Daphnia pulex: one gene and its partners. The protein of the gene in region 1 interacts with the protein of each later gene in a pairwise test. Links are inferred from orthologs where the notes say so. Each region holds a gene or a part of one and is shown on either strand. Other genes may lie near its edges.

Region 1 (3,100 bases):
TCGTTATTTAGAGAAGGCAGGAGTCATGGACGCTCTGACAAAAGTTTTGGTTGGACTCTATGAAGAGCCAGAGAAACCAAATGATGCATTGATGTAACAATGAATTTGATTACTTACACATATAACACTTATTACAATACAGATTTTTCCTCACATAATTAGGTACCTAAAAACCCACCTGAGTGTTGCCCATCCCGATCAGGCTGAACTGGAGTCCATGAGGAATGAATTGCATTTTGCTCGGAGACAAGCTGAGATGTTGAAGTGAGTCGCTATTTAATATTACACAATGATTACAGCCATAGAATACCGAACACATTTTCTATATTAGGGAGGAGAATCAAAGGCTGTCTGCAGAACTTCAAAAGTACTTGGCTGTAGAAAGTTTGAGTAAGGAGGAACCTTCTGAACAAAGTACACCTGATCATGATGAACAGATAAATTGAGGCCACTTCCATCTGTCAAATCACTACCTTCTGTGCCTTGACATTTAACTCATTTATTATGTATTTCATGTTCATTATTAAATAAAAAACTTGATTCTGAAGCAAAATTTTTTATTGTGAACAATTGCAGTAGTTTCCTTTCATGCTAGCTGTAAAGAATTATTATTTAGCATTCAGGGCTTGTCTTCTCTTGACATCCCAATTGTAAAGCCTAGCCATGTTCACTTCAGTTGTTGTCATCTGATCCCTGTATAGATTTTAAAAAACATTTAAAGTTACACTGTTAGGGAAAGCCAAGCCAAACAGAGTAAACTTACCTAAGGAAGTCCAGATCATGATGTACTTGTGCAAGATTCTTCATAGCTGTTTCATGATTTTTTTCCAACAAAGCCTTAGCATCTTCTAAAGTGTATTCCAACATCACATTAGCCTGAAAAATAAACAGAATATTAGTTTGCAATCTTGTATAGTTTAAATGGTATAATTTACCCCTAGCCACAAGCAGACTTTATCTGTGGGTTCAATAACTGCCCTAGAGTACAGAAGGTCTGAGAGTAAAAAGTGAGTTTCAATTTGTTCGTTAGTTTTCCTTTTTGCTTCCAGCACTTGAATCATGTCAAGTGATTTTTGGATGTCTGGAATTTGACTCTTCAACTTCTTTTTGCGTGCCAGAAGGTTAAGCTCCATGAATTTATATTTTCCTGTAACAAAGATTGATAAAATTAACAAGCATGGCAAAGATACATTATGGCTTAATTAAATAACATACCATGTTGTTCGTCTAGTTGCCGCAAAATTGACTCCACCCCTTCACGATCCTTCATGTAAGCGTCTACATCTTCCTGTCACCGGTATAAACTGATATTGCACTGAACGGAAAGAAATTTGACATGGTGTTTTCACAAACGATATTTACCACAAAGGTAGCTTCGGGAATGCCAGCAAAAGACTTTTTTCCGGATAATTTCAGACTATCTTCGATAGGTTCACATGCTGCGGTCGAGGCCATTTTTGGAGATTTTGCTTTTAGAAGACAGAAAAAGGTTTTTTTAGTCTGCAATGTAAAAAGCCGATTTTGTACGGATTGTGTATTATTCACCATAGATGGCGCTGGTGAACCTGTAGAACCAAAAAGAAAACAACTTTTTGAAAGTTTTTGACGTGAGACATGCAAAAACAAAATTAGCTTTTTAATTCGAAATTGTCGATGGATACATTTATTTGAGGTCAGTTCTTATCATCTACTATAGCTGAGCATTAGGAAACTAAACAAATTTGGTTATTAAAGACAAAATGGCTCAACCACCACCAGATCCAGTCCACATTCTGCACAATCCAAGTGGACCAGTCACTGCATTAGCTGCACTAAGACTAAAAGAGGATGGTGAATACAATCTAGTCAGTGGATCAGAGATTGGATTCATAACTATTTGGAATTTAAATGTAGGCTTAAATTGATTTGCTTAAAATTGATTGTCTAATGACGAAACACCTTTTAAATTCAGGTTTATCGACCAACCAAGACCTGGCAAGCTCACAGTGCCACAATTGTGTGGATTGGGGCTTTGGATGACAGACCTGGTTACATAATTTCACATGGAAGAAATGAATCTCTCATCATCTGGAATGCAGAAGGAATCTCAGTTCATCGGATGCTAGTCACTCATGAAGGATTCTGCAAGTGTGACCTTTGGGCCAACATCATAGCCATCCCTGCCAAGAAGAATTCAGTTGAAATCTTCAACATCAGTCAGGAAACGACGTCGCTGGACCGTACCGGCACGCTAACGATCGACGACGACGAAGGAGCATTAATGGCCATTAAATTGTTGGGGAAACAGACGACTGTAGTAACCGCCTATGAAAGTGGATGCATTTGCATCTGGAACGAGAACGTTGTACTCCATCGAACAAGGGTCAAGAGCATGCCGACTTGCTTGGGGCATCATGCTCAGCGTAATGAACTCCTATTAGGAACTTCATGCGAAACATTATACATCTTCAACGTCGACGACCTAACCGAGCTCAAGTCTGTCGTGCTGACCAATCCCGGACTGAACGTCATGGCGCTCCGCCTATCCGACCCGCGTCTCTACGCAACAGCCGGCTGGGACCATCGCATTCGCTTCTTCAGTGCCCGAACTCATAAAAAGCTCTGCGTCCTTCAACTTCACGACGGCCCTGTCAACAGCCTGGTCTTCATCATGGGTCAAAGCGGCGGCGGCGTCGGCGGCTTGTTGGCCGCCGGAGGTAGCGACTCTCTGATATCCCTCTGGGATCTGTACAGCCAGGCAGGCCAGCCAACAACAGTGACGTCGGTTTGAACCAAAACCCCCAAAACCCCTTGAAAGGCAAGTTCCTGGCTTCCTCGTACACTTCCTTTGTATTCTAATCAACTGTGTGACTCTGCATTGATGCCGCAAGCTTTTCAAAAAAGGGAATATATAAAAGCGAGGGGTTGTTCTCTGCTCTCTATCGTCGTTTCTCCTCAAATACATGAAGAAATCAGAAAAGAATTTTATACACACATATATTTATAAAGGTTGGAAATTATCAAGCGAGCCGAAAAAAGATGACGGTCGTTGGGACGGAGTGTTACCATGGCGACGGCACGCCCTCGCACGCTCCTTGAAAACTTCTTGAAACACAACAAT
Region 2 (3,032 bases), on another chromosome or scaffold:
GAGCATTTAAGATTGGTAGGAGACCTCATCACGGGGGCAACGAAATTGATGAACGGAATCTGGAAGATAAGGAAGCCGAAAGTAGATCCCCATCAGGTAGATCCGTCGCTGTAGCCGGAATGCGTCCTTGTGGTCCCGGTAGCCGCCGAACGCAGACAGGAAAGTGCCGGCCGAATATCGGTTAAGTCACCTTTTTTTTCAAATAATTGTATTTTGTTCTTCTTTGATGAGATCCGTCCGATACAATTAATTCAGGTAATTTGAATATCGGAAAATAATTTGTTTCGTTATTGGTAATTACTTTTTAAAAATCTTGTTTTAGATCAGCATTCCATGGATAACCAACCCATTTTTAATATTGTCAAAGAAGTCAGAAAAACATAATATCGTTTAATGCATTTAGTCTAAATTTTTCGCTTGTTTCTTCATGTAAAATATTTGACACGATACACAAAAATACTTTAAAAAAATGCTATACATTACATATTCAATTCATCCTGAGTTCCTCATTAAAAGTTATTGATTAGACTTGTGCATCCTAGTAATTGATTCTGAAAGTATTCATTGTGTGAATGGTAAGCATAATTGTGCCAGTGCGTTGTGCATAGACTATCGAGTCCTGTTCGTTAAAAAGCAACGTTTTCTTATCGCTTAGTTAAGTTGCAGCTTATAGTGTCCTTATTGGCTGTCAAATTAAAAAAATGTTATTTAGTCTCAGTGTAACAGTAAAAGAGAGCTCTGTCTGGTGTCTAGTCAGATTCCAGTCCGCCCACACAATATCTGTATATCAAGAACCTCTGTATATCGAGATATCGAAAGTGATAAAAGGGAGTTACATCCTGGACTGGCCAGCAGATTTTGATGCTCGGTGACCCCCAGTACATTGATCTTTGCTGTTCTGAAGGATTCCTGCCTTTCCAGTAGCCAATAGGCCATAAGAGTTCAGACTATTCTCTGTGTGTCTCGCAAGATGATTGTAGACGATTGGAAATATATAGCGGTCTTACGTTGCGGCACGTGTCGTGTCACCCGGTATCTGTCGTCTGACTGATTGTGAAGAAATCGTCAACTCATGACGGAAGGTCGGAAAACGCACCACTGTCTGCCCTTTTCATACTCCTGATCGCTCCTGATCTTGATACCGATGAAGTAGAGACTGTCGCCGAGAGGCCGGTTTTTTTCCTCTGGCTCCTTCAACGCTGAATATTTCGCAATCACAATAACAAGGAATCCAATCCGTCTATACTTATTCCTATTTTTTTGCAACTTGAAAAAAGAATTCAAGTCTCAAATTAGAAACAAGATGCATGATTTAAAAAATTTCTCCGTGAATTCTCAATGACTGAAGGCTTTAGAAATATTTCTATAAATAATTGTGACTTCATTTTCAGGTGTTTTTCTCTGAAACCATCTTATAAGAACAGATGCTGTTTAGAAATGCTAAACGCCCAAACCTTTAAATCACGTCGTCTGCTCTTTTACACTGGTGGTGGTGGACATTTCCTTTTAAAGGTACACCCAAAATACTCGAATTTTTGCGGTTCTATATATTTGTATTTCTCGTTAAGTTGATAGATTCCAATCAAGTAACACACCTGTGAAAATGGCTGGTAATGCACAAAAAGATAAAGCCCAAGGAGGAGATAATATGCAGAAAATAGACTTGACCACTTTGACACTTCCACAGCTGTCTCAGTTAAAGCAGCAACTTGAACAAGTCATTATTTCATTATTTTATTTTATAGAATTATTTATAACTGCTTTCTTTCATTTTTGACTGTATAGGATTTAAGCCTGTACCAAGATTCTCTTCAGACTTTGAAAATTGCACAGACAAAATTTCAAGAATCAGCTGAAAGTGCTGAGAAACTAGAATCTACCCAGGAAGGTGCACCTATACTTGTTCCACTCACAGGATCTGTAAGCTAGATTAAAGTAATTGTACATATGATTTCTTGGTATAAGACCTTATATTTGATAGATGTATGTGCCTGGAAAAATCAGTAAACCAGAACAACCTTTGATTGATATTGGAACCGGTTACTATGCAGAGAATGTAAGTGCTGATAATCTTGTCAAAAGATTGAAATGGTTACTAAGTTTTATTGTTTAATGTTCAGACAATTGAACAAGCTAAGAGTTATTTCAGACGTAAAGTAAAGTTTGTTACTGAACAAATGGAGAAAGTACAGATGCTTGGTATTGAAAAGAGTCAAGTCAGAGATGGTAATTTACTTTGATATTATTTTTAATTTTCTCTATGTACTAAAGATTTTTTTACTGCAGCTGTTGCTGAAGTGATGGATTTGAAAGTACAAGCCCAAGTTGCCGCCAACCCTCAGGCTGCAGTTCGCGCTTAAACAGACCATCCGTACAGTATAATAAATGAATAATAAAATTTCATCATCAACAAATTGACATTTTCATTGCTTTAATTTTTTATTTCGATTCGTAATGAAGCTGCTGAGTCTCAAACAGTTAAACTTGCACTGTTAATAACATGGAGGAGTACAAAAAGGGAGATTTCCAATAGAAAAAACGATTTTGTGCATCGTTGTACCTGCCCGGTCGCAGATAAACTTGATGGCCATTGAACATACGCAACAACAGCGAAGTTAACACACAAAAAGTAGTTAAAAAAAATTGCCAAACCGAACATTGGAAATGGGACAAAAAAATTTAGGAATTCAGGTCTACACGGGGACTAGACAGCACATTTTTTCGCCTTGACAGAAAAAAATTATCAATTGTTACACTTTAAATTTCTCACTTTTGAAGCGGTGCAACATTAGTCCAGACCAGCGGATTTAGTCTATGTCAGAGCTTTTAACTAGAAGGTTGAGCATTATTAGCATTAGATATTTCGTCAGAAGAGGATTGATACACTTCCAACATCATGTTGCGCACTCGCTCCATTAACTCAGGTAAATCTTCCATTGTCATGCCTTTAGTAGACACTGGTGGTAATACGGTCATTACAATTTCACCTGGGTCAAACCGCTTTTGTTTGTGATCAAGAAAGTAGTAGTACG
Region 3 (2,708 bases), on another chromosome or scaffold:
GGCTAAATAATCCAATGTCCCGCACATGGTTGTACGCCTATTGAACAAAAACAATATAACATAAATAACTTCGATTTGTTTGGTTCTACACTAAACAATCATATTTTACTTTACCTAGACGAAGGAGCATGGACGGACCAACCAAAATCGGCTATTTTAATTTCTCCATGAAATCCTAGTAAAAGATTTTCTGGCTTAATATCTCGGTGGATTACTTTCCGCGCGTGACAGTATATCAATGCATCAGCTAGCTGAGCCATGTAATTGGCCGTCCTAAAAATAGGGGTAAATTATTTTCCACAGAACTTATGTTTCTGTTATTTTAAAAAATTTACTGTGGTTCAGAAAAACGGCCATTGGGTTGGCGTTTCAGGTACTTGTACATTTCTCCATTTGCGGCGAATTCCAAGATGAGGTAAATACGAGTTTCATCATAAAAATATCCGTGCATGCGTAAAACATTGGGATGTCTACAGTAGAGTCGCAGAAAAGGTTGATGTGCATTAGTGATATAAATTTTCCATAAAACATGTGATCTCATTAGTATGTACCGTAAATGTGACTGGATTTCAATTTCACGTCTCAACTGGTGTTCCATCTGACATTTTTGTAGTTGAGATTTAAACAAAACCTTCAGGGCTACAATGTATTTGGTATTGATTTCTCTAGCCAAGTACACATTTCCAAACTTCCCTTTACCAAGAGGACGGCCAATTTCGAAGTTATCAAGACTCCATCTGGGTTGAAACAAACAAGCAGAGAAACACACATGATTTGGAAGATTAATGCCACAATTAAAATATTTAAGTCAAGAAGATAAATGAGAAACACTTTGTTGGATTCTGAAAAACAAAAAATTCTAACATACTTTGAGTTTTCCAACTTAACAGTAGGTTGGTTTGAAGAGTTCTCTTTAAGTGGCTGCTTGGTTTCCATGTTATCTGTCAATTTCAAAATCAAAACATGAAACATTTACAAAAACACGAAGTTCAAACTTACTTATTCACTTACATTTTCGTAAAAAACGTTTAGATTGGTCTAAATTTTCAAAATGTGTTGTAATTGTATATACCTGTATACCAATGTCTAAACTTCTAAACTCTAAAACCCTAAACCGTGGTCTACTACGGTGCTGCTGCTACTGGACGGTTTTGGACAAATGGGAAAATATTCAAACGGCAGAACAACCGGCGTTGCCGGTATGATGGTATTATGGAAATATTTTCGCCTCCTCCGTTTGTCGTTTTTCTCAGATTTTCTATAGACTTCGTCTTCGTGTCTAAGACTAATTTATTATTAAATTATTTCATTATCATTAAGACGATTATTGTTCTCGGTGCTCTGCAATCTGCAAATAGGCCTAAGTCAATTTCGACAATCGTCGATCGTCGACTTCGCTACATTCTACCGCTAGTCTCAAATAGGAACTAGGAGGGTAGGAAGTAGAATAGCCTGAAGTTTGTCTGCTGCTTAGTGCTTTTGATACGTAAAAAATGGCGACTGACGGAAGCAAAAAGCAAGCTAAAAATGCTCCGAAAAATGTTAGCAAATCGAATGAAGAAGTCATCCAAGGATTTCAAAGATTACGAACTGAACAGAGACAACTAGCTAGTAAATTATCTGAGCTCGAAATGGATCTAAACGAGCACAAGTAAGTTTTACCGGTTTCACTTTATAAACAGACTTCCATAGCGTGTAGAGGATAATTTACTCCTACTATTAACTATGTCATATTTTTTTTCTTACTCAGACTAGTAATAGAAACCCTTCAAAATGTGGATGAAGACAGGAAGTGCTTTCGCATGGTTGGTGGAGTACTAGTTGAACGAACTGTCAAAGAAGTTCTGCCTGCACTGACATCAAACAGGGACCAGGTAACTTGTTTTCATATTGTATTATTTGGTTGTAATTTTAATTACAATTTATTTTTTATATAGATGACTAAAGTAATTGAAGTTCTCAATAATCAAATTTCCACCAAGGGACAAGAAATTAATGACTTCAAGGAAAAGAATAATATCAGGATACGAAATCAAAATGAACTCCCATCTACAGCTCCTGATAATGAAGGAGAAAATAAAGTTGCCAATCAGGGGGTTTTGGTGGGCACCAAACCTTAACTGATATACCTTGTTTTGTATGCTCTGCTGCTGAAGAAAAATCAGAAAACATATGTTTTGCTTTTGCTTATTTTTATGAATCTAATACTTTCATCTGCTCTACTATCCTAATGGAAGGTTAGAGTACTAAACAATCTGTGTGATTTACCAAGAAAGCTTTTAAGAAGCTTAGCTATTCTAACTTTTGATGTATTTATGAATTACTAGCAGGAATTATTCTATTAGATTTCTATTGAATGCACAATAACTTAGTTTATCTCTGGTTTCTCCGAAGAGCGACAACGCTATAAAATCATATGGATTTGAGATCACACCGGATTTTAAACCAATAATTTTTGCTGCTGCGAACTGTTTAGTTTGTGTGTAATATTTGAAAAGTCAAAAGTGTTCCCCACAAAATTGCTTTGGCGCAGTTCTCCGTAAAATTTGTTTTACAGATAAGTAAACAATGGTGATCAAAATATTTAATTTATTTTCTAGGTGAAAAGTTGGTCTAGACAGTCTACTTATGCAGTATACACCAAAACGATTCGACGACGATGTGTGGGAATTGGTCTCGATGTCAGGTTAAATTCTCATCGTAAGTTT

Evidence for each region.
Region 2: the proteins of prefoldin subunit 3-like (region 1) and prefoldin subunit 5-like interact in binary tests that used the Drosophila melanogaster proteins (3 or more experiments, as listed by UniProt). The link is inferred for Daphnia pulex from reciprocal best matches to the Drosophila melanogaster genes mgr and Pfdn5.
Region 3: the proteins of prefoldin subunit 3-like (region 1) and prefoldin subunit 2-like interact in binary tests that used the Drosophila melanogaster proteins (3 or more experiments, as listed by UniProt). The link is inferred for Daphnia pulex from reciprocal best matches to the Drosophila melanogaster genes mgr and Pfdn2.

The regions. Positions count from the first base shown.
Region 1 is NC_060028.1:10,584,584-10,587,683, reverse strand, and holds prefoldin subunit 3-like, read right to left. Parts: upstream 1,526-3,100; 5' UTR 1,456-1,525; coding exon 1,363-1,455; intron 1,289-1,362; coding exon 1,216-1,288; intron 1,148-1,215; coding exon 936-1,147; intron 877-935; coding exon 764-876; intron 694-763; coding exon 609-693; 3' UTR 541-608; downstream 1-540. Other genes in the region: c-Myc-binding protein-like, read left to right, coding at 1-93, 163-264, 332-446; guanine nucleotide-binding protein subunit beta-like protein 1, read left to right, coding at 1,740-1,889, 1,952-2,770. UniProt on the Drosophila melanogaster protein: Binds specifically to cytosolic chaperonin (c-CPN) and transfers target proteins to it. Binds to nascent polypeptide chain and promotes folding in an environment in which there are many competing pathways for nonnative proteins.
Region 2 is NC_060023.1:2,200,316-2,203,347, forward strand, and holds prefoldin subunit 5-like, read left to right. Parts: upstream 1-1,362; 5' UTR 1,363-1,512; intron 1,513-1,568; 5' UTR 1,569-1,603; coding exon 1,604-1,717; intron 1,718-1,785; coding exon 1,786-1,920; intron 1,921-1,981; coding exon 1,982-2,056; intron 2,057-2,120; coding exon 2,121-2,226; intron 2,227-2,286; coding exon 2,287-2,360; 3' UTR 2,361-2,414; downstream 2,415-3,032. Other genes in the region: 1-acyl-sn-glycerol-3-phosphate acyltransferase alpha-like, read right to left, coding at 2,827-3,032. UniProt on the Drosophila melanogaster protein: Binds specifically to cytosolic chaperonin (c-CPN) and transfers target proteins to it. Binds to nascent polypeptide chain and promotes folding in an environment in which there are many competing pathways for nonnative proteins.
Region 3 is NC_060024.1:9,271,830-9,274,537, reverse strand, and holds prefoldin subunit 2-like, read left to right. Parts: upstream 1-1,406; 5' UTR 1,407-1,493; coding exon 1,494-1,651; intron 1,652-1,750; coding exon 1,751-1,874; intron 1,875-1,937; coding exon 1,938-2,120; 3' UTR 2,121-2,173; downstream 2,174-2,708. Other genes in the region: aurora kinase-like, read right to left, coding at 1-37, 115-273, 336-470, 552-737, 869-936. UniProt on the Drosophila melanogaster protein: Binds specifically to cytosolic chaperonin (c-CPN) and transfers target proteins to it. Binds to nascent polypeptide chain and promotes folding in an environment in which there are many competing pathways for nonnative proteins.